Tamandua tetradactyla: one gene and its partner. The protein of the gene in region 1 interacts with the protein of each later gene in a pairwise test. Links are inferred from orthologs where the notes say so. Each region holds a gene or a part of one and is shown on either strand. Other genes may lie near its edges.

Evidence for each region.
Region 2: the proteins of KCTD9 (region 1) and NUP35 interact in binary tests that used the Homo sapiens proteins (3 or more experiments, as listed by UniProt). The two-hybrid records come from large-scale screens. The link is inferred for Tamandua tetradactyla from reciprocal best matches to the Homo sapiens genes KCTD9 and NUP35.

The regions. Positions count from the first base shown.
Region 1 is NC_135329.1:26,402,498-26,413,373, reverse strand, and holds the start of KCTD9 (BTB/POZ domain-containing protein KCTD9), read left to right. Parts: upstream 1-6,516; 5' UTR 6,517-6,772; coding exon 6,773-6,820; intron 6,821-10,876. Other genes in the region: CDCA2 (cell division cycle-associated protein 2), read right to left, coding at 3,421-3,575, 4,635-4,808, 4,904-4,964. UniProt on the Homo sapiens protein: Substrate-specific adapter of a BCR (BTB-CUL3-RBX1) E3 ubiquitin-protein ligase complex, which mediates the ubiquitination of target proteins, leading to their degradation by the proteasome.
Region 2 is NC_135329.1:156,020,714-156,032,226, forward strand, and holds the start of NUP35 (nucleoporin NUP35), read left to right. Parts: upstream 1-7,103; 5' UTR 7,104-7,194; coding exon 7,195-7,234; exon of another isoform or gene 7,235-7,454; intron 7,455-7,670; exon of another isoform or gene 7,671-7,801; intron 7,802-8,335; exon of another isoform or gene 8,336-8,394; intron 8,395-9,417; exon of another isoform or gene 9,418-9,473; intron 9,474-10,272; coding exon 10,273-10,443; intron 10,444-10,831; coding exon 10,832-10,959; intron 10,960-11,513. UniProt on the Homo sapiens protein: Functions as a component of the nuclear pore complex (NPC).

The DNA.
Region 1 (10,876 bases):
CACCTAGATAAGTACATCCCCAATTATCTGGGGGTTAAACAACTTTCAAGACGATTCTTTCCGGAGAGTTTACTTAAGGGTTTTCTTTCATCCTTCAGAGTCAATCACCTGCAATAGCCTCAGCAAATCAAAAATATGAAAGGGTAAGGGAAAGTTTAGTACAAAAACATTTGGGAGAACCCAGCCTAAGAGAATATATGGAAGGCATAAGTGGAGATAAGGGAAAGAAGGGACAGAAAGGACCCAATTGTTCTGAAATTTTACCAAAGGTTGTGCTAAAAGTAAGCTGAAAGTATGTACAAATTATATATTGTGATAATACCAGTGCATGAAGCCTTGCCACTTGTAAATTTCAGCGCACCTATTTTAATCCAAGCTAGTCTCATTACTCATCTCTAGTTCATCCCAGTGGGCCAGAATAAAAGTCCCGGGAATTACATAATAGCTCAAATATTATCCTCTTTCTCACATGACTCTTTTTTGGTTCTTTCCAGTTAAATATCTGTGATTTCATGAGACCCAGAGAACCCTTACTTCTTTAGTGACAAAAACCAGCTAGTCACTTAAAATACAAAGCCAAATAGAAAGGTTGTCTAGGCACAGAACTCTGCGCAAACCAACTAACAAGGTTTCAGTTAAAGACAGGTTAAAAAAAAAAGATAAAATCTCCATTTGCAACAGCAACTAAAAGAATCAAGTATCCAGGAATAAATTCAACCAAGATGTAAAGAACTTGTACACAAAAACTTACAAAACACAGCCACAAGAAATCAAAGGCCTAAATAAATGCAAGGACATTCTGTGTTCCTGGACTGTGAGACTAAATATCAGTAAGATGTCAATTCTACCCAAAATGATGACAGATCCAAGGCAATAATCAAAATTCCAACAGCCTATTTTACAAAAATGAAAAGTCAAATACCAAATTTACGTGGAAGGGTAAGAGGCATTTGAATAGCCAAGAACATCTTGAAAAAAAAAGACCAAGTTGGAGGACTCACGCTTCCTGACCTTAAAGCATATTACAAGGCTACAGTGTTCAAAAGAGCATGGTGGGTGGGCCATGGTGATTCAGTAGCAGTTACCAAGTCTGCCATGCTGGAGACCCAGGTTCGTTTCCCAGTGCCTGCCCACGTTAAAAAAACAACAAAAACAACAACAACAACAACAACGGAGCATGGTACCAGCACAATAGATATACTGACCAATGGAATTAAATTGAGAGTTCAGAAGTAGACCCTCACATGTATGTCCCAATTGATTTTTTGACAAGGCTACCTTAATTCCACTCAATTGGGAAAGAATAGTCTATTCAACAAATGGTGCTGGGAGAATAGAATATCCATATGTAATAGAATGAAAGAGGACCCCTATTTCATACCATATGCAAAAATTAACTCAAAAATGGATCAATGACAAATATAAGAGCCAAGGATAAACTTCTAGCAGTAAATGTGGGGAAGTATCTTCAGGATCTAGTGTTACGCAATGGTTTCTTAGACTTTATACCCAAAGCACAAGCAACAAAAGAAAAAATAGACTCCTTAAAACTAAAAACTTTTGTGCATCAGAGGAATTTGTCATAAAAGTGAAAAGACAACCTATTCAATGGGATAAAATACTTGGAAACTACATATCCAATAAGGGTTTACTATCCTGAATATATATGATAAAAAGAGAAACAACACAATTTTAAAATGGGCAAAATATTTGAATAGACATTTCTCCAAAGATATACAAATAGCTGAAAAGCATATGAAAAGATGCTCAATATCACTAGCTATTAGGAAAATGCAATTTCAAAATCACGAGTTATCATATCACACTAAAATAGCTACTATTAAAAAAAAAAAACCAGAAAACTGCAAGTGTTAGAGAGGATGTGGAGAACAAAGGAACACTTATTTATTGCTGGTGGGGATGTAAAATGGTATAGTCCCTGCAGAAGACAGTTTGGAAGTTCCTTAGGAAGTTAAATATAGAATAACCATATGACCCAGTAATCTCGCTACTAGGTTTATATCCAGAAGAACTGAAAGCAGGAACTCAAACAGACCTTCACACATCTGTCACATATATTCATAGGGACATCATTCACAATTGCCAAAAGATAGAAATAACCCAAGTGTCTATCAACTGATGAATGACTAAACAATGGATGGATATCCTATGTATGTACATAGAATGGAATATTATTCACCTGCAAAAAGAATGAAATCCTGATGCATGCAACAACATGGATCAATCTTGAGGACATTATGGTGAGTGAAATAAGCCAGACACAAAAGAACAAATATGTATGATCTCACTTGCGTGAAGCAATTACAACAAGTAAACTCATAGTTAGAATCTAGAATAAAGATTACAAGTGGATAGACTGGGGTCAGTGTATGAGGAATTGATGCTTAATTTGCACAGATTGATGGTACAGGTTTGGAAATGGATGTTAGTGATGGTATCACACAATTGTGAATATAATTACAACTCTCAAATATATAGGTGAACGTGGTTAAAAGGGGAAATTTTAGACAATATTTAAATGAAATGTTACCGGAATAAAATTTAAAAGATAAAACATAGGGCCATATAGGATGGTGAAACTTACTGTAGATGATGGACAATAGTTTATGATACAAGAATCTTCTTTCATGAATTATAATTAGTACAAGGTGTTAATAACAGGGTGATATATGGAGAAAAATATACCTAATGTAAACTCTGGACGACAGTCAATAGTCCTATTTTAATAATTTTTCATCAAGTTCCATGTCAACGCAAGGTATAAGTCATGGGGTGGCAAATGGGAATCCTGTATTTTATGCATGCTTGGTCCATAAACACACAACTTCTCTAATTGAAAAAAAAAGTTTTCCTTCAAGAAGGGTAAGCTAGTCTTGTCTTTCATAACAAGCCTGTACTATTTGCTTTTTTCCAGAATAGGCGTTATTTTGATGCGCATTTGAAAAAGTATTTAAATACTTCCCCATCAACATACAAATAATTCACAACCTTCTACAAGGCTATCCCAAATCTGTTCTTGGGTGACTACTGACCCTAAATTCCAACTCAGAGTAGGCATTAAAAATTAGACCGTTACAGACAACATATTAAAAGACAGAGATTGGAAGACACTGACTCATCTCACTATAGAAAAACAGACATTAAGCAGAAAAAAATTTACAAAATACAGAAAGCTCCTCTAGAAAGTCATTTCTCTCCAACATTCTCATGACTCTGATATACTCATGCTCAGTATCAATATTTATACTGACTACCCATTCTCTGTAAGAGAGAGAAAATACTATCACTCCAGACGCAAAACAATCGAGATGCACTTATAGGTAGAAACATTGTACAAAAATCTGATGAAACAGCAAAACATTCTCCCTAGAATTCAATACAGAACTAGGAAAATCCTACCTGAAAAGGGGAATCCTGTGCCAAAAGAGATTTTTCAGTCCTCTTTAAATTCCGCTGCTGAGCAATGAAGCAAATCAGATGGTTTGTTTCAGGAGAGCCCCGAACACCAATTGTAGAACGTCGTCTGGATTTTTTAAGGTAAGATGATGCCTTTCCTGTAATGAAAACTCTTTTAAATTAAAACAAATCAAGGCAATTATCAGTAATCAGGTCCTAAATTCCTATAATGGACAAGATTGATAGAGAAATCAAGATTGATAAACACATCACAGAAATTTAAGCAGAGAATTACTGGCAAAGATCTTTTTTTGGCCCACTGATTTATTCGACGTACCCTGCATAGAAGACTTATATTAAATAGTTGTTGAATGAATACATGAACACGTTTTAATTAATGGTTTTCATTTTTGTTCCCTATCCCCTGAACACAGAGGTGGGGTAATGGCTTGCTTTTGACTAAGAATTTCTTTTTTTTCTAAATCAGTCAGCCTTATCCCTAAGGACTGAAAGGGAAGGATCTCTATCTAGGGAATGTACTCTTATAATAATTCTTTAAGATAATTTCACTTCTGTTAGATTCCTATCCCCCTTCAGCACAACACCCTGAATTTTGGCCAAATCTAAGCATACAGAATGAATCTAGGTCTAAGAGTGAAGTTTTTGAGACGAGTACACAGAATGACATGCCACCTTGTTTTATTCACATATTGCCTACTTAGTCTAGTGCCCTACGCCTTTCAAGTTTCCCATTGTCATTCATTTGTGAATACAGCTAACAGAACTCCATTCCCATATTCCGTCTCCATCTAAATCAGTTTCACAGTTGAATTTCTACTCCTTGGAATTAAGCGTTTAATTGCTTTCTAATTTTATTTTTGCCATTCATGAATATAAAATGTTTTACTATAGATAGCATGCATCCTCCTGAATCCTCACCTTTCAGATCAAAAAGAGAACAATATTCATATTCTTTCCCAGTATGAAGACAGGGCACAAATCTGACTTAGGAAGATTATCATGTCAGGTGTCTTGGTATCCTGCTATGCTAGATTTGCTGTGCAGGTACATAAAAGTCTTCTACAGTAAGGAAGTGTACAGTCAATCAACGTAGATGCACAATATAATAGTACAGACAGGGTGGAGGAAACCAGTTGAATTGTATTAGCTATTTTTAAACTTTAAAAGCAGTGCATTAGAATGAAAATTTATCTTACCCGACAAGTCCTTAACAAAACTTTCAGGAGTAATTCCTAATTGTTCTACAGTTACTGTAGAAAAGTTCAAAGGTGATTTAAATGTATCTGGTGTGCAAAAATTAGAAGTCACTTCTGCTTCATGCTTCTGAGGAGTTACAAGCTTCCCATTTGCAAAAATGAAGGAAGTATCTTCTGAAACAAACAGCAATATATTGTAGAGGCTAAAACATTATCATCAAGTAGTTAAGCCTTAAATTTCATAAAAGTGTAAAAAAATCACTACATACCAGTGCTCTTAATAGCAGATTCCTTGATTTCAGGTTCCTTGCCTTTTGAATTGGTGTCCATCTAAAAACGGGTGAGTGGGGAAGAACCCCACCCCAAACGTAATGTGATTAGAGCAAAATCTCATTCAAGACTGAATTCCAATACAATTCTATACTGGTATGAAAACAGATGTCAAAAGCGTGCTTTTCGGGCTCAAATTTAAAAAGAATGGGGGAAACTGTGCAGGATGAAATAAATTAGACCTCATCCCATATAAGCCCTGGCTTATCAACATCTGATCGGTCAGATATGAACGTAATAAACATGTGAATCATCTGGGTACCCCGTTAATAAGGCTGCAGTTCCGTGGACTCCCAGAACTTTTGATTCAGTCAATGTGGATGGGACCTAGGAATGTGCATTTTTAAAAGCATCCCAGGTGATCTCGAGCAGGCTGCATCAGGACCACTATCTCCGAAGGACGTGATAAACCGAGGACACTCTCAAGAAACAGCACAGTTCTCCAGTATTTGAAATTCAAATCACAACACTTGCTACCTCTCACCTTCGTAACTTCGGTCTCCTCCCGCTTCGGCTTATTTCCCAACCTCAGCAGCAGACAAGTATCGACGTCAGGAAAACTAGGATGAGGGCCCGATATAACGTCTTCTATCTCTTGAAGCTATCATGCCTTCTAGACCTCGGCTGTTTCATCCTCAAGGTTTCGCTCGAGAAAGCAAAGGTTGCCTGCTAAATCAGGAGGCAAATGCGGCGTCACGATAACGGCCACTTTTCTCTCCAGCTCCTCCGGACCCCGGAGGCTCCGGACGCCCGAAATCCGAGCCCAGCGTAGCCGCGCTCTCCACCCTCCCGCCCAGCGTCCCCGCGGCCGCCTCGGCCCGCCGCTCAATTCAAATCGCCGACTCCGCCTCCTCGGCGTCAGAACTTTACCTCCACGAATCGCTACGCCCGCCACCACCGCACGTGTCTACTCACACCCCGGGCTCCTTCAAGCTTCTGCGTCCTCTGACTCGGGAAGAGGAGTGGCTGCCCGCGCTAGAAGAGAAGCCACCACTAGCTGCGAGCGACCCACTCACCACAGAAACCAGCTTTTAACTGTGTCTGTGGGGACTACTCTCTGGGAAAGTCTCGCGGAGTAATCCTTCCCACGAGCACCGCCCCCGACCCTGCGGTTGGATACAACAAAGTTCGAAAAGAATCATTGGACCAATCATGAGAGAATGACGGGCTGGCGCTTACCCAATCAGCCAGTTCCGCCGGCAGCCGTTTCCTCTGCGGGTTGGGCGAGTGGGCGGGGTTAGAGGGGGGAGGCACTGACTGGTGGAGCGCTAGAAGAGCGCCCCACCTCCTTTCCTCAAACCGCACCTCCGTATGCAAATAAACTCTTCTCGCGCTACCCATTATTGGGTTTGCGCCTGCTCAATAATGTTTTGAGCAGCGGTTCGGCTCCCCGTTCTGCTCTAATTGGCTGATAACCCTTCCCCTCTACTAGTCTTCAGCTTTTCTCCCCTCCCTCCACCCCGCCTGGGTTGGTGTGAGCTGCCCAGTGCCGGGCAATGATTGGTTGAATTCTGGCCGGCCCTGCCCTTTGATTGGCGAAGGTTAAAGTCAGTCTTGGAGGGTGGGGGAAGGGCCCGAGGCAGGTTGAGGAGCGTAGGGGCGGGGTGGGGAGGAGGACCGGCCAACCCTGGGGTGTGGGACAGAGAGAGATTGTGTGCGTGTGTGTGTCTGTGAGTAAGAGGAGGAAGGTGGCGAAGGGAGGAGAGTCCGAGTGGGTGGAGGGAGGGGCAGGGCGGGAGAAGAAAAAGGTGGGAGGAGAAAAAGGTGGGAGGGTGGCGGCTCACTCAGGACCCGGTGGGGGCAGCGCGATGAGGCGGGTGACCCTGTTCCTTAACGGCAGCCCCAAGAATGGAAAGGTAAGGGGTTCGGGAGGAGGCGAGGCGGGGCCGGCTGCGGGGGGCCAGGGCAGCGGAGGACGGAATGGGCGCGCAGGGAGCCGGAGGGCAGAGGGCTGAAGTTGGATAGAGGGGCCGGGAGGTGGGCGTGCTCCCGGGGCGCGGGCGGGGGGCGTCCCGAAGGTGAAAATCGCTTCCCCGGGCCTCCCCCATCCCGGGGCCTGCACTTCAACTCCTCAGCTCCCCGGGGCCCAGGTCAGGTCACGCTTCTGCCTCAGCGTTCTCAAATCTAGGATGTGGGTCCAGGAGAGTGGTGGGGACGGAGGGCGTGGGGAGGGCCGCTGTCACTTGCGCGCTGGGTGCCGAGGGTCCTCACCCACATGGCCCCGAAGACCCCGTTCCCCCCGCCCCTGGCCCCGCTGGGCTCCCGCAGGGCTCGTTTCCACCTTGGTGCTGAGTAATGGTCTGCTGCAGAAAGTGGTAGTAATAACTAAGTCATGTAAGATTGATTAGGTAAAAACAACTCAGCTATCAGTGGCTAAATAAAATATTTTTTCAACTAGGTAGAAGACAGGATAAAAAATTAGGATTTTTTTTTTCTTTTAGGCGCTTCAATCCTCCTAGTCTCGCTGGCGTCAAACTTCTGTACTTGTTTTATTTCGCCTTATTTTAGTTCCTTAGAGGACTTGTGCCAGTAGACCAAAATGGACTGGTTTGCTGTGTTAGGCCTTTATTGAGGGTGTGGTACTAAATATTTTTCCAACGCTGCAGCAAGCCAAAATGAATCCTGTTCCTTCTCAGCCTCTCGCCCCACCCATGCAAGTCGGTCGGCTTCTTTGGAAAATTTGACTATTCAAGGCAGAGAATGTATTGTGGGGCTAAATGATATGGAGAAGTAGTTTAGGCTTAGATTCTAAGGTAAAGGTAAGTTAGTCTCACTGAATTATTTGCTAGAAGATTTTGCTCCCTGCATATTCTGGAAACATTGTAAATGTTTAAATAGTGAAAAAGGGCATGGTATAAAAAATGGCTTTCAGCGACTATGCAGTTTCAAGTAAACATGTTCTACAAACTTAACCACCATGTAGTTTGCTGACCATAATTTTGTATTCTTCTAATCTTTTAGATTTAATACTCATACAAATACAGAAATGGCATGAATTCAAGTTCTTGAGTTTTCCATAAATACTGACTCAAATATACGTCACAAAATTTACATTATTTATGATCGTTATTCACTTTTTCTATCCCTTTTTTTATGGTTAGCTACTGCTGTAATTTAAAATTTATATTGTCCTGCAAGTTTTAGTATATGCGGAGTTGTAGTTGTAATATGTTCTCAAAATAGACCACTGTTTGACTTTTTTTTTAATCCAACAGCTTTGGTGTGTTACTCCATGAAAGGCAGATGTTTAGACCTAGTCATAAAAATACTATGCACGAAATCTCTTCTGAAAGCCCTGAATTTTATGATCATCAAAGATTGGTTGAGTTGTCTTTCAATATTTTTAACAACAATTTTTAAAGCTATTTAGTTTTTACTAGCTTAGATTTTCTAATTTATATTTTATTTACTTTAAAAATATTTTAGTAGAAAATCTCAAAAGACTGGAAAAGATACATCTGAAACAATTAAAAATAAATGTTTATATTTCAAAGATTATACAGATATAAACTGGAGATTACTGGTAAGATTCAATATTAAAAATAAGCCATGTATTTCAATACTACTCTAGTGGAGAGCATATTCTAAGAAATCTTTTCTCTGAATTGCAAAAGTTGTCGGTGTTTCTACTCTTCACCCTTCAGCTAATTAATAAACAATATAATTATTCTTATTTGACAAAGCATGCAGAATAACTTCCTGACAGCCTGCTTTTTTATATAGAGAGAATACTTAGTTAGGATTGGCATGATCATGACATGAATGTTCATTGAGAACATGCTGAAGCAAAGGGCTGCTTCAAAGAGTTTGATTTGCCATCCACCAGTTGGAATATCTGAATCACTTTCATTGTTTTCTTATTTAACTAGTTTCAGTTTTTGTGTCCTCCTCAGGAGAATAATTTTTTTTTTTCAAGTAAGGTTTCCTCCCATAATACTTACTTAGTACTTGCCACATAGGGGGCCAAGAAACCTGAGAGTGGGGATGCACAGAGTTGTTGCTGAGGCCTATATCATATGCTAACCATGAATTATTTGTGTACTAAGTCAATACGCACTAGCTAGTACATGTTTTTGATGTGAACAGTGGTTTCCAGAATGCAATGGTGAACCACAGAAGATGTGCAAAATGATCCATTGGGGTTGAGGAAGATATATTATACCTTTTATTTATATTTTTTACTTAAAAATATAAGAAATATTAAAGCTTGATTTTACCTACCTGGAAAGACATAGGTGTCTTCAATCGCTAAATGTGTCAGCTGATAACAGATCTTCTGTGAAAAGGGAGAGCGTTCACATGTGAAAAAGTTGATATTAGCTTCTTCATTGATTGATGTATTGAAGTTAACAAGTGCCAGGTTAAGGTTTATATCATCCCATTTTAAACTAACCCTCACCAAGAACCCAAATGGCTTTTAAAATTTACTTCATTGAAACTGCACATTGAATACAATATTAATTATGCAAACACAAGTAAACAAAGAAAATGGCAAGAGCTGGCACTTCTTGTATAAATTCTTTCTCCATATATTAGGAAATAAAAACAAAACAGTCTATCTCTTGGATATGAGAAGCCAAAAAAAAGTCAAATTTTAAAGAAAACTTTGAAGTCCTATTTAATATTTGCTATTAACAGTAAATACCTCCTTAAGTGTATAATGTTCTTTGAAATATTAGCTAATGATAGGAAAAGGGCATCCCAATAAGCAAGACATTCAAAAATATTTTCTAGCACGTGATGACAAATGCCTTCAGATATTTAGTTTTGTTTTCTTTTTTTTTTAATAAACTCTTGGGGTGCATGGGTGATAGAATGCATCCCTTCTATGTGAGAGACCCAGATTCAATTCTCAGACTGTGCATCTAAAAAAAAAAAAAAATTAGTCTTATATTTGGCAGAATTTCACTGTTTGATGATAAATATTTCCAGGCTTTTTATTGGCAGCCTCAAAGTACAAGTGGATAAAAATCCTCCTATTAGTGGGGAAACATTCTTTCTGCTGGTAGTGTGTAGCTTATAAGTAAATAAATATATTTGAGCACATGGCCCAAAATGTTTTATTGATGGGGTGCATGGTTAAAAACATTTGAAAGCCATACATCTAACTGATTGGGACCTTAATATTTTTTTTTTGTTACTCAGAGTGCTCCAGTGAAAATCAGTTATGCTTACATCTTTTATCCTTTCTTCATATCCCTCAGACTTCTCATTGTTCTCTGATAGTCACTAAGAGTTGGTATTAAGGAAATTGAAACAAAGACGTAGGCATCTCAGTGTAGTCAGCGAGTGGCATCTGAGCACCCTGCCAGACATTGCAGACGAAGTGGCACATGAAACACATCTTAATTCTGTACTGTTTTATATCTTTACATTCTTGGTCTAGGAAATAACCTTTATTCTAGGTTTGAAATTAAGTAAAAAATGTTTTGCTCCTATTAACTATTCAGTTTGAGTCCATTATATTGTTAGGGTTGAGGAAAGGTAAAATCTGTGTGAACCTTTGCCTATGGAAATGTATGCACTACTAAAAATCTTATCAGTTACTATTTGTAAATATTATTTCTAGGTATAAACATTTTAAAATACATTTAATGCATACAAAAGAATACAATATAGAATATTAATATACTTAAAAATAGTGTAAAACATAGTAAACCTGCTACCCAACACAAGAAATAATATATTAGCAGGAATTTAATGTGCTTATCCATTTTCCTGTCGCCCTCCTCAACCCGCTTCTCCCTCAAAGGTAAAAGTTTTCATAAATTTTGTATTTCTCTTTGCTATGTTTTTTCCCCTCTTTTAAATCAGTTTTACCACATATATGTTAATATCTAAGCTGTGTTTTTTGTTTTGTCAGCTTTGGGGCTTTAGAAAAATACTATTTTGTAGTCTTTTGGAACTTCCTT
Region 2 (11,513 bases), about 130 Mb from region 1:
ACACTAGCAATGAACAAGCTGAGGGGGAAATCAAGAAATGAATCCCATTTACAATTGCAACTAAAAGAATAAAATACCTAGGAATTAATTTAACTAAAGAGACAAAAAACTTATATAAAGAAAACTACAAAAAACTGTTAAAAGTAATCACAGAAAACCTAAAAAGATGGAAGGGCATACCGTGTTCATGGATTGGAAGACTAAATATAGTTAAGATGTCAATCCTACCTAAATTGATTTACAGATTCAATGCAATACCAATCAAAATCCCAACAACTTATTTTTCAGAAATAGAAAAACCAATAAGCAAATTTATCTGGAAGGGCAGGGTGCCCCGAATTGCTAAAAACATCTTGAGGAAAAAAAACGAAGCTGGAGGTCTCACGCTGCCTGACTTTAAGGCATATTATGAAGCCACAGTGGTCAAAACAGCATGGTATTGGCATAAAGATAGATATATCGACCAATGGAATCGAATAGAATGCTCAGATATAGACCCTCTCATCTATGGATATTTGATCTTTGATAAGGCAGTCAAGCCAACTCACCTGGGACAGAACAGTCTGTTCAATAAATGGTGCCTAGAGAACTGGATATCCATATGCAAAAGAATGAAAGAAGACCCATATCTCACACCCTACACAAAAGTTAACTCAAAATGGATCAAAGATCTAAACATTAGGTCTAAGACCATAAAACAGTTAGAGGAAAATGTAGGGAGATACCTTATGAAACTTACAATTGGAGGTGGTTTTATGGACCTTAAACCTAAAGCAAGAGCACTGAAGAAGGAAATAAATAAATGGGAGCTCCTCAAAATTAAACACTTTTGTGCATCAAAGAACTTCATCAAGAAAGTAGAAAGACAGCCTACACAATGGGAGACAATATTTGGAAATGACATATTAGATAAAGGTCTAGTATCCAGAATTTATAAAGAGATTGTTCAACTCAACAACAAAAAGACAGCCAACCCAATTACAAAATGGCTAAAAGAGTTGAACAGACACCTACCAGAAGAGGAAATATAAATGGCCAAAAGGCACATGAAGAGATGCTCAATGTCCCTGGCCATTAGAGAAATGCAAATCAAAACCACAATGAGATATCATCTCACACCCACCAGAATGGCCATTATCAACAAAACAGAAAATGACAAGTGCTGGAGAGGATGCGGAGAAAGAGGCACACTTATCCACTGTTGGTGGGAATGTCAAATGGTGCAACCACTGTGGAAGACAGTTTGGCAGTTCCTCAAAAAGCTGAATATAGAATTGCCATACGACCCAGCAATACCATTGCTGGGTATCTACTCAAAGGACTTAAGGGCAAAGACACAAACAGACATTTGTACACCAATGTTTATAGCAGCGTTATTTACAATTGCAAAGAGATGGAAACAGCCAAAATGTCCATCAACAGAAGAGTGGCTAAACAAACTGTGGTATATACATACAATGGAATATTATGCAGCTTTATGACAGAATAAACTTATGAAGCATGTAATAACATGGATGGACCTAGAGAACATTATGCTGAGTGAGTCTAGCCAAAAACTAAAAGACAAATACTGTATGGTCTCACTGATGTGAACCGACATTCGAGAATAAACTTGGAATATGTCATTGGTAACAGAGTCCATCAGGAGTTAGAAACAGGGTAAGATAATGGGTAATTGGAGCTGAAGGGATACAGACTATGCAACAGGACTAGATACAAAAACTCAAAAATGGACAGCAGAATAATACCTAATTGTAAAGTTATCATGTTAAAACACTGAATGAAGCTGCATCTGAGCTATAGGTTTTTTTTTTTTTTTACTATTATTATTACTTTTATTTTTTTTCTCTATATTAACATTCTATATCTTTTTCTGTTGTGTTGCTAGTTCTTCTAAACCGATGCAAATGTACTAAGAAACGATGATCATGCATGTATGTGATGATGTTAAGAATTTCTGATTGCATATGTAGAATGGTATGATTTCTAAATGTTGGGTTAATTTCTTTTTTTCTGTTAATTAATAAAAAAAATTACTGTGGGATTTATCAGGGTCCAATCTGCTCTTGAAACCCTCCTGGGAATTTTTCATTTCAGTTATTATGGTCTTCAACTCTAATAGTTCATTTGGTTCCTTTTAAAATTTGCCTCTTTACTTAGACTCTCATATTATTCATTCATTGTTTTCCTGATATCTTTTAGTTCTTTCTCTGTACTTTCCTTAAGTATTTTTTAAAAATAGGTTTTGTTTTGGCATAGGCAGGCTCCAGGAATTGAATCCGGGTCTCCAGCATGGCAGGAGAGAATTCTGCCACTGCTCCACTGTTGCACTGCCCTCCTTAAGCATTTTCTTTTTGGCATGGGCAGGCCCCAGGAATTGAACCCAGGTCTCTGGCATGGCAGGTGAGAACTCTGCCTGCTGAGCCACCGTGGTCCACCCCCTAAGCATTTTTAAGATCACTTTTTCAAAAGGCTTTGTTTGGTGTATTCACATTCTTGTTGTCTTTGTTGGTATTTTCTGAATCTTTATCCTATTCCTTTGGATGGGCCATTACCTCCTATTTCTTTGTTTGTCTTGTACTTTTTTTAAACAGCTTGTACATTCTATATACCCTGAATTTTTAATTAAGGTTTCAAAATACTCTTGACTTAGAGTTTCTGAAGATGTAAATATTTTTGGAGGACCTTTTTATAGTACCTTATAGCCTGGAAGAAATGGCTTTCTCATCTCCCAGCCAGGTAGCATGTAGGATTAGAAAGTACTTAAAACTATAAATTAAAAATTTAATTTGTTTTATGGAGGCAGGCTATTTTTATAATGTATGAGTTTGCTAGGTAACTTTATGTGCTTTATAGGCATTAAAAAATTATTTTTTAAATGTTTTTTCTTTGGGGGTGGTGATGCATGATCCGGGAATCAAACCTGGGTCTCCCGCAGGGAAGGCAAGCATTCTACCACTGAACCACCTGTGCGCTCTAAATTTCTTTTCCTGTAAAATATAACATATATACAAAGCAAAGAGAGAAAAAAGCAATAGCTTTATACACATTTAAAATTATTTCTGGATGGGCCACAGTGGCTCAGCAGGCAAGAATGCTCACCTGCTATGCCAGAGGACCCAGGTTCGATTCCCGGTGCCTGGCCATGTGGAAAAAAAAAATATTTCTGATATTGATAGTGCTGGTTTCTATTCATTTACCAGTAATTCTGTTCAGCAGGAAAATATCTTTTGAACATTTGCTCCTTTTTGGTCTTTAATTTGTAAAACATTAATGTTGGACAATAAATAATGATACAGAAGAAAGCAAATAAGCAATGGATTTTGCATAATGCATGGGAAATGAGGGGGTGCAAGCTATCGCAGGCCAAGAGTTCCTGTTATTCAGTAGTGTAGCAGGCAGACCTTGCCCTCTTTCTGGTTTAGCTGTGCTCTCTGTGGAAAATCCCAAAACCCCCTCTCCTTGCAGGCAAGTGAGATAAGATAAGGTTCATTTCCTGGTATAGAAACCCCCTCCCCTAGCCTCCAGGAACTGGTAATAATGCACATAGGCAAAAGAAGACATTCCTGGGGTGGGGGGCCCCTCAACCATTCAGCTCTGGGCCATTCTCAATTTAAATCAGCCAATTGTGTACCTTGTCTTTAACATGTCAAAAAGTCTATAAAAGCTAAGGTTGCCTTTTGTTCAGGGCTCAGACTTTTGAGGTGACTTAGCTGGGCCCTCTTGCACAAGAGCTAATAAAACCTACTTCCCGAAACTGGGGATCCTTAGTCTCAGCGTTTTCTAACTTCGCGGAACATTCCTGGAGGCCTATGGCCTCGTTCCTGGTTTTTGCGCTACAGTAGGATGTCCTTTGGACCACCTGTGGGCTACATTGCAGAGGGCTCATCTTTCTTTTCCTCCCTCCCAAAGGTCTCAAACAGCTTAGAAGGATGCTGAACATGATGATTGATCTTGATTTTTGCTATTCATCAACTTTTCTTGATCTTGCTGTCTGATTCCATACATTTCAGAATGGTCAAGGGATTTGTAATAAACTTGGCTTGTGTTCATTTTATTAAAAAATAAGCTCCAAAAATATCCATAAGTTGTGCTACTGAAGTTCCTTTAAAGACCTATACCAGTGTTTCCATAGTGTGGGTCATCCTGAAGTGCTAACATGAGGGCTGGTGTCCACATTGTACATTTTAATATTTTGAAACGTTACCTCTGGGATTTATTTTCTATGATGTCAGCTTTTTGGTTTTTTAAGCAGGTGTTGATAAAGCTGAGACCTTCTTGAGCTTCAGCACTCCTATGAGGAAGATTTACTCAAGGTAAATGCAGGGTGCAAGGTTTTCCCTGTCTTTCTGGGCCTCTTTTCATCCTGGGCTTTTGCATGTTAGTTTTTTGGAGTTCCAGTTATTTACAGGAGTTTGGTTGTTACCTCTTCCACCCAGGAGACAGACATCAGTCTCACTGGTACTTGAAGCCAGTAGTCCTTTTTTCCAGGGTGTCTGCCTCTGTAATATTTTATATTCCTTGTTTTTTTTTTTTTTTTTTTTCATGCTGCTTTTGCCTGGAGGACAAATTCTGTGAGGATGGTCATCCCAGTGGGGACTTTTCTAAGTCACTCTTTCCCAGCCAATACAGGTGGTGGTGGGGGGACCTACTAAAGTGGCACAGATTGTCTCCAAAATGCCCTGGGGAGATGATCAGGAAGGGTACCAAAATTCTCTCTGATGGTTCCAAAAACTGCAGTTTCCTGTCCTGCTCAACAAATGCAATCCTTTAGCTAACTGTCCCCAACAGTCCTGGGGAACCACAGTGTCATTAAATGTCTACCATCTCCATCCCTTTCCAGGGAGGGTGAAACAATGGCTGCTGCATCCTTTCTCAGGGTGGGTTTGAAACAATGGCTGTCACCACCTTTTTCCAGGGCAGATTGAAACAATAGCTGCCTTCCTAGCTGGAAACCAGCAATCTGAATATGCTAATCAAAAGCTGCAATCATTGATAGGCTCTGTCTACTACTGTTCTTGGGGAAGAGGATTTTTAGGTCCTTTTCTGTCACCAGCAGCTAGCCAGGGATTGTACCTGGCCATGGCCTGCCACGAAGGTGAGGGATGAATTCAGGTAGTTGCTGCACAGAGAGAGCAATTTACCATTCTTTATTGTCATTTATCAGTCTCTTCATCCTGCTCTTCCCTGGATGCTGTATGGAGTTCTTCTGGCCTTTGGGGTTTCAAAATAGTTGTTTCAGGTAATTTCTGTCTGTTTAATAGTTGTTTTGGTGGAAGGTCTGAGTCCCAAGTGCCTTTCTCCACCATCTTCCCTGGAAGTCTCTGGTTGGGTAAGTTTATTTTGAGGTTTGATCAATTTAACTGGATATTGAAATGGAGAGATTATTCTGCATGATATGCTTTGGCCCTTAATGTAATCACAAATGTCCTTTAAGAGGGAAGTAGAGGGAGATTTTACTACAGAAGGCCATGTGATGAAGTGATGATAGAAGCAGAAAGAAGCAGAGTTACCTGCCGGTTTTGAAGATGCAGAGAGGGGCCACAAATCAAGAAACACAAATGGTTCTAGAAGCTAGAAAAGGCAAAGAAACAGACTCTTCCTTGAGGCTTACAGAAGAAACTGGTCTTGCTGACACTTTGATTTTAGCCCCATAAAATTCATCTCAGATCTCTTACCTCCAGAGATGCAGGAAAATAGATTTGTATTGTTTTAAGTGACTAAGTATGTGGTAGTTTGTTACAGCAACAATAGGAAAGTAATACTCTGGGTCAAAGAATAGAAATAATATTTAAAATTTAATAAGTCTTGATAAATTATCTTCACGGCTTTGAAAAGTGCCACTTTCCTTATCCATGAGAGCATAGTATATTACTAATTTTTACGTTTGTCAACCAGTTCTGTAAACAAATTCTGCCTCCTGCTCTAGAAAGGCAAGTTTGCTTTGGGTGTTATTTTATGGAGCTTGTTAAAAAATGGCAAATCAATCTGTAAGTGATTTTAATATTTGACTTCTGGGAACTTGCTATTTAATGCTGGAATTGTTACTTCCTCACTCCAATTAGAAACTCTTCCTGGTTCTGGGATATTAGGAAGTCCCAGATGAAATGGTGATGGAGGACCGGTGGGGATTTCAGAAGAATGAGTGTGGTGCAGACAAGAGAGGATCCCAGAATATATGCATGTAGTACATCATTTTTTAAAAAAACTTTTTTATTGTATAATGTAACATATATACCAAACAAAGAAATAAAAATAGCAATAGTTTTCAAAGCACTCTTCAACAAGTAGTTACAGGACAGATCCCAGAGTTTGTCATGGGCTACCATACCATCATCTCAGATATAGTACATCATTTTTTTAAAGTCAGTAAAGAAGCAAAACTTACTTTTATACACACCTGTATATAAAAATCCCTTTTGCCATATATATAACGTGTTGAGTGTGTGTGTGTATATATGAGCATACACTCTAATGAAAGTAGCAGTGGAAGGAAGAGGGGAACAGGCAGGGCATGGACTAGACACACGGGGTTCCACAGTGTGGTGGGCTCACTGTTATTTATCACCTCCTCAATTATTTACATATTTATATATACGTTTGTTACCTAAATTCTTTTGTATGTATCAAAATTAATATTCAATAAAACATTGCATGAGTTATGTAATGTGCTTTTATGATTGAAAAACAAAGCCAGAAGGACATAGAGATGGTAGAAAATATGCTTTGAAAATGGAGCCTCAAGATTAAGCCCAGGGGGAAAAAAAAAAAAGATTAAGCCCAGAAATTGACAATTGAAAGAGACACAAACTATTTCATCAAGCTAACTTTTCCAGGTGTTACTTGGAAAAGCTAACAGGTGGCAGATAATTGGGTAAACTCACACTAATCATGAAACTGAAAAAAAGAGAACCGTGTTTCTATAAAACTCAAGCGTCGGTAAATCAAGGGACTGATAATTTGAGTAGAACCTTCTCAAAATCAGTTTTCACGCTGGGTTACCATCGAGATGTTGAGTCTGCGCAAGACGTTGCCCTATGCAAAAATGGCGGTTCGGGTTTCAAGAATTTAAATGTTCAAGCGCATGTCCGGAAGTTACGCCACTCCATAAGATAGCGCGCTCCTACCGTGGGGAGAGTTTCCGCCATTTTTGAAAATCGTGAAGGTCCTAAGATAAGTGTAGTTGCCGTTGCGATGGCAGCCTTTGCCGTGGAACCCCAGGCGCCCACACTTGGTGAGTGAAAAAGTGCTTTTTTTCGCTGGCACTGCGATCCACGCCTCAGGTCTGAAAGCGGGCAAGCAAGCCTGTAAGGTAGTGGTCTTCAGGCTCTGGTCCGCTAGCCTCAGTCGAGAAGGGGGAGGGAGCCCCTGGTTGCCTCGCGTTCCTAGTCCCCTTCCTGCCGGAGACTGAGACACCACTCCGCTGTCAAGGTGGCTCCGGGATTCCGCGGGCCCTGGAGAGGGTGAAGAAACGGCTGTCACGTGGTGATTGGGTAGGATTTTGTGCTTCCACATGCCGGCAGCGCCGCACTGGTCCTTTCCTGAATTTCGACTCGCACGGGAGAGGCGTAGTGGGTTCCTGGATCCCCGGAAGCGTCGGTGGGGAGGAACTGACTCGCATACACGTGGGTGGGCGGCGCCCTGGAGTGCCTGGTTGCTGTCGACCGCGCCTGGTCACCTAGGTTTCTAGTTCCTGTTTTCATTCCCTCCCTCTCTTGTTAATTTGAGGACGCTCTCGGGCTTTGCAAAAAGGAGTCTGTGGTTAATGGAAGTTTGAGTCTTGCGACATTTAATCAATCAGGTGATGGTAATTATTGGGATATTGATTATACTAGCAAGCCTGAAGTTCCCATGTTTTTTCCCGCCTTTATTTTGGGAAAATTTTGACTTTTAGTTTGTAGGTCATTTCCTCGAATTAGTCACTATCTGACTTTTCGAATCCACCTTTGATATTTATTGGGTAGCCTTGAAATGTGCGGTCGTTGAAGGGAGTCTACCAAGTCATCAGGGTGCTGATCCCCTTTTTGTTGTGTCGTGTGTCGTGTGAGAACCGTCAGAAATTTTAGGAGAGAACAGACCGCCTAATATCGTAGACTTACTTGAAAATTAGGTTATGATTTTTCGAGTTTAGAAAAGAGCAGAAGTGATATATATTGTGGAGAATGGGCTTTTTAGATTTAAAGAACAAGTTATGCTTGCCATAGCTTTTATGCAAAATATTTCGTTTGAGTATGGAGTTATGTAAACTATTTTAGTTTTAGTCTCATTACAAACAAAATGTATAACGTCAATAATGCAAGCACTGCTACGTTTAGACTTTTGTACGGATGTTGGTCTAGGTATTTACTTTTCCTGAGTTTTAGAGATCAGAAAACCATGTAGTTCCAGCTGCAGGTTGTTTTTTGTTTGTTTGTTTATCAAAAACATTTTGGAGTGTATGGTTGCTGGTGTTACAAAGATTAATGAAACCCTGTTTATTGCCTGGCTAGAAATCTGCTAAAACTGATTTTAATTCTTCAAGTCTACATATTGTAGATAGTTGAGGGGAGGAATAAACATTTTCCCAGCATCTAATAGTATATTAAAAGTAAAGGTTTACTTCAACAAACTGCTAACTGAGTAACATAGTACTTTCATTTGGGAGCACAGACTGAAATGGAATTTAAGACATACAGGATGCTTAGAAATTGGTTAAGCTTTTTAAGGGGAATTCAGCTTTTGAGGGGTGGTTAGTGACAGAGCCAGGATTAGGAGACCATTTGGTCCTCCTGACTCTTTTTTCTAGTGTATCATAATATATACTTATGTATATTGGAACTTTTCTTAATTCTTACAATCTTTATAAATTGTTTCTTTAGGAGATGGAGTAGTGATGGTATTTGGTGGTGTTACATAAAACTTTGTGTTTATTACTGTGGTTTTTAAAATGTCTGTTCAGAATTTTTTAAAAAGCCTCTTAAAAAAATTAGCGAAGTGTCACCTTAATTAAGCTTTTGCTTTCACTTTTGGCTTGCTTTTAGTATATGTTCTTTGGAAATGGGTAATAGTAACATAGTAACTAACAGTTAAAATAATTGCAATGTAATTATAGTTCTTCACATCTTATTTCAGTATTTATGTTATCCTTTTCCTGAATTTGCCTTTTTCCTCTTACACACTTGCATTGTAAAACACTAGTTCTGTTATAGTGGGAGATGAGAGAATAAATAATTGATAGGTGTTGGATAAAATGAAGCAAATATTTGAAAGTTAAAGAAAAGTGTATCAAAAGCCTGTGAATAATGTAAAAAACATTTGATCCTTTTGAGTGCTATGAATCACATTCAGGCTTGTCACATAGTTAAAAATTAAGTTTTCATAAGCAGGAATTGGAGATTTTACATTTGTACATTAATCACTCAATTTTTGCTATTATAGATTACTACTAGAATAATAATAACATTTGTTGAACACTTACTGCTGATTAGATACTGGTAAGTGCTTTACTTAGTGTCTTATTCTAAAAAAAAAAACACGGCATAGGTGCTATACTACACTATTTTGCAGAGAACTTGAACCAGGTCTCTGACACTAAAGTCTATTTTTTCTTTACTATTTTGCTCTGAAATTACAATATTATTTCTTCGTCTTTTTAATACCAGTAATAATGCCTACACTGTTGTGAACATTAATTATTTTAAAATTATTTATTTTTTAAAATGATAGAAAAACATTCCAAGTCTTTTAAATGTGTTTCTGAGTTAGGATATTAGGCATCATTATTATTGCATTAGTTGTCTAATGTTTACACTTTTATCATAAAAATGCTTTGCTGTTTTTTGTGTATGGGGAAAAAGGAGTGGGGCATTTGCCAAGCTAAATGCATGTGTCTGATTTGCTAAGACCTTGTATAAATAGTGTACCCATCCTCTGTTTTGTTTGCGACCAAACTGTAGAAACTAGCCAGAACTGGAAAGAAATTAGTGTGTATTAGGTTTTTTTTTTTAGATGTTAAGCTAATTTTTAATTTAAAAATAAGGTGTGGGCAGGCCACTTTTGCTCAGCAGGCAGAGTTCTCGCCTGCCATGCTGAAGACCTGGGTTTGATTCCCTGTGCCTGTCCGTGCAAAAAAAAAGTGTAGTTCTTAAACTTGTGGAAAAAATGTAAACAGAAACTGCTCTGATGATTAATATTGTTAATGCAAGATGACATGCTAGAGCCTTGCATCTTTTTGTTAGCTATTGTAGTAGAAAAGTTATTAACTTTTATTTTTGTTTTTTTTGATTCATATAGGATCTGAACCAATGATGCTGGGTTCACCCACCTCTCCAAAGCCAGGAGTTAATGCCCAGTTCTTACCTGGATTTTTAATGGGTGATTTGCCAGCTCCAGTGACTCCACAACCTCGTCCAATTAGTGGCCCTTCAGTAGGAGTAATGGAAATGAGATCACCTTTACTTGCAGGTAGGTAAATTACTTACAGTAGTTTTATAGTGATAACAGTACAAGTACTAGAATTTTAAAAAAGTATAGTGTACCTTTCATTATCATCAAAACATTTATTAATTTTAAAAAGTCAAGTATTGCCTCTTTGAATAGAGGTGTAATAAGTATAAGCTTCTTTAATTCCAAGAACCATTCATTAAAATGTACATGCTATATTTCATCTAATCAAAGATGCCATTGTTTGTACAACTTGTCATTATTTTATGTACCGTTAGGAAAGAACATTTTATATCAAATAACACCTTAAGGGCAATTTAAAAAAAATTTCTCTCTTTTTTTAAAAACTTTATCGAATCTAATTGAAGATTCTTTTATTTTCTTACCTGACTATTTTTGTACGTTGTAGGTGGGTCACCACCACAACCAGTTGTACCAGCTCATAAAGATAAAAGTGGAGCTCCACCAGTTAGAAGTATATATGATGATATTTCCAGCCCAGGACTTGGATCAACCCCTTTAACTTCAAGAAGACAGGTAATATATATACCCTCATGATCTACAGTTAATTTCATATATTTTTATGTAACTGTCCCGTGAGTACTTTTCAATAATTTGAAATGTTTCCCTAAAGTCTGTTTTAGTGTAACTGTTGCACAGAGTAAGCATTAAGTTTATCTATCATAGAATCTCCTTAACTTGTGTTTATCTTGAAATGTACTTAAAAATGTAGTAGACCTCCAGATGTTTTTCTCATATAGATAATTCTGTGGTGTTTATAGATATAAACACCAATCTTATCTATGTGCCAGTACTTCCAACTTACTTAATATATGTGTAGAATATGATTATGACTAAAGTCATTTCACTTGTTTAAAAACATAATCTCAAACTCTAGCTTTCTGACTTAGAATCTGAATTTTAATTCTGTGGGAGATTCAGTATTTTAAACAACTGCCTCCTACTTATTTATGAGCTGATTATCTAGTATGGACCTGACACCTCTTTGAATAGAGGTGTAATAAGTATAAGCTTCTTTAATTCCAAGAACCATTCATTAAAATGTACATGCTATATTTCATCTAATCAAA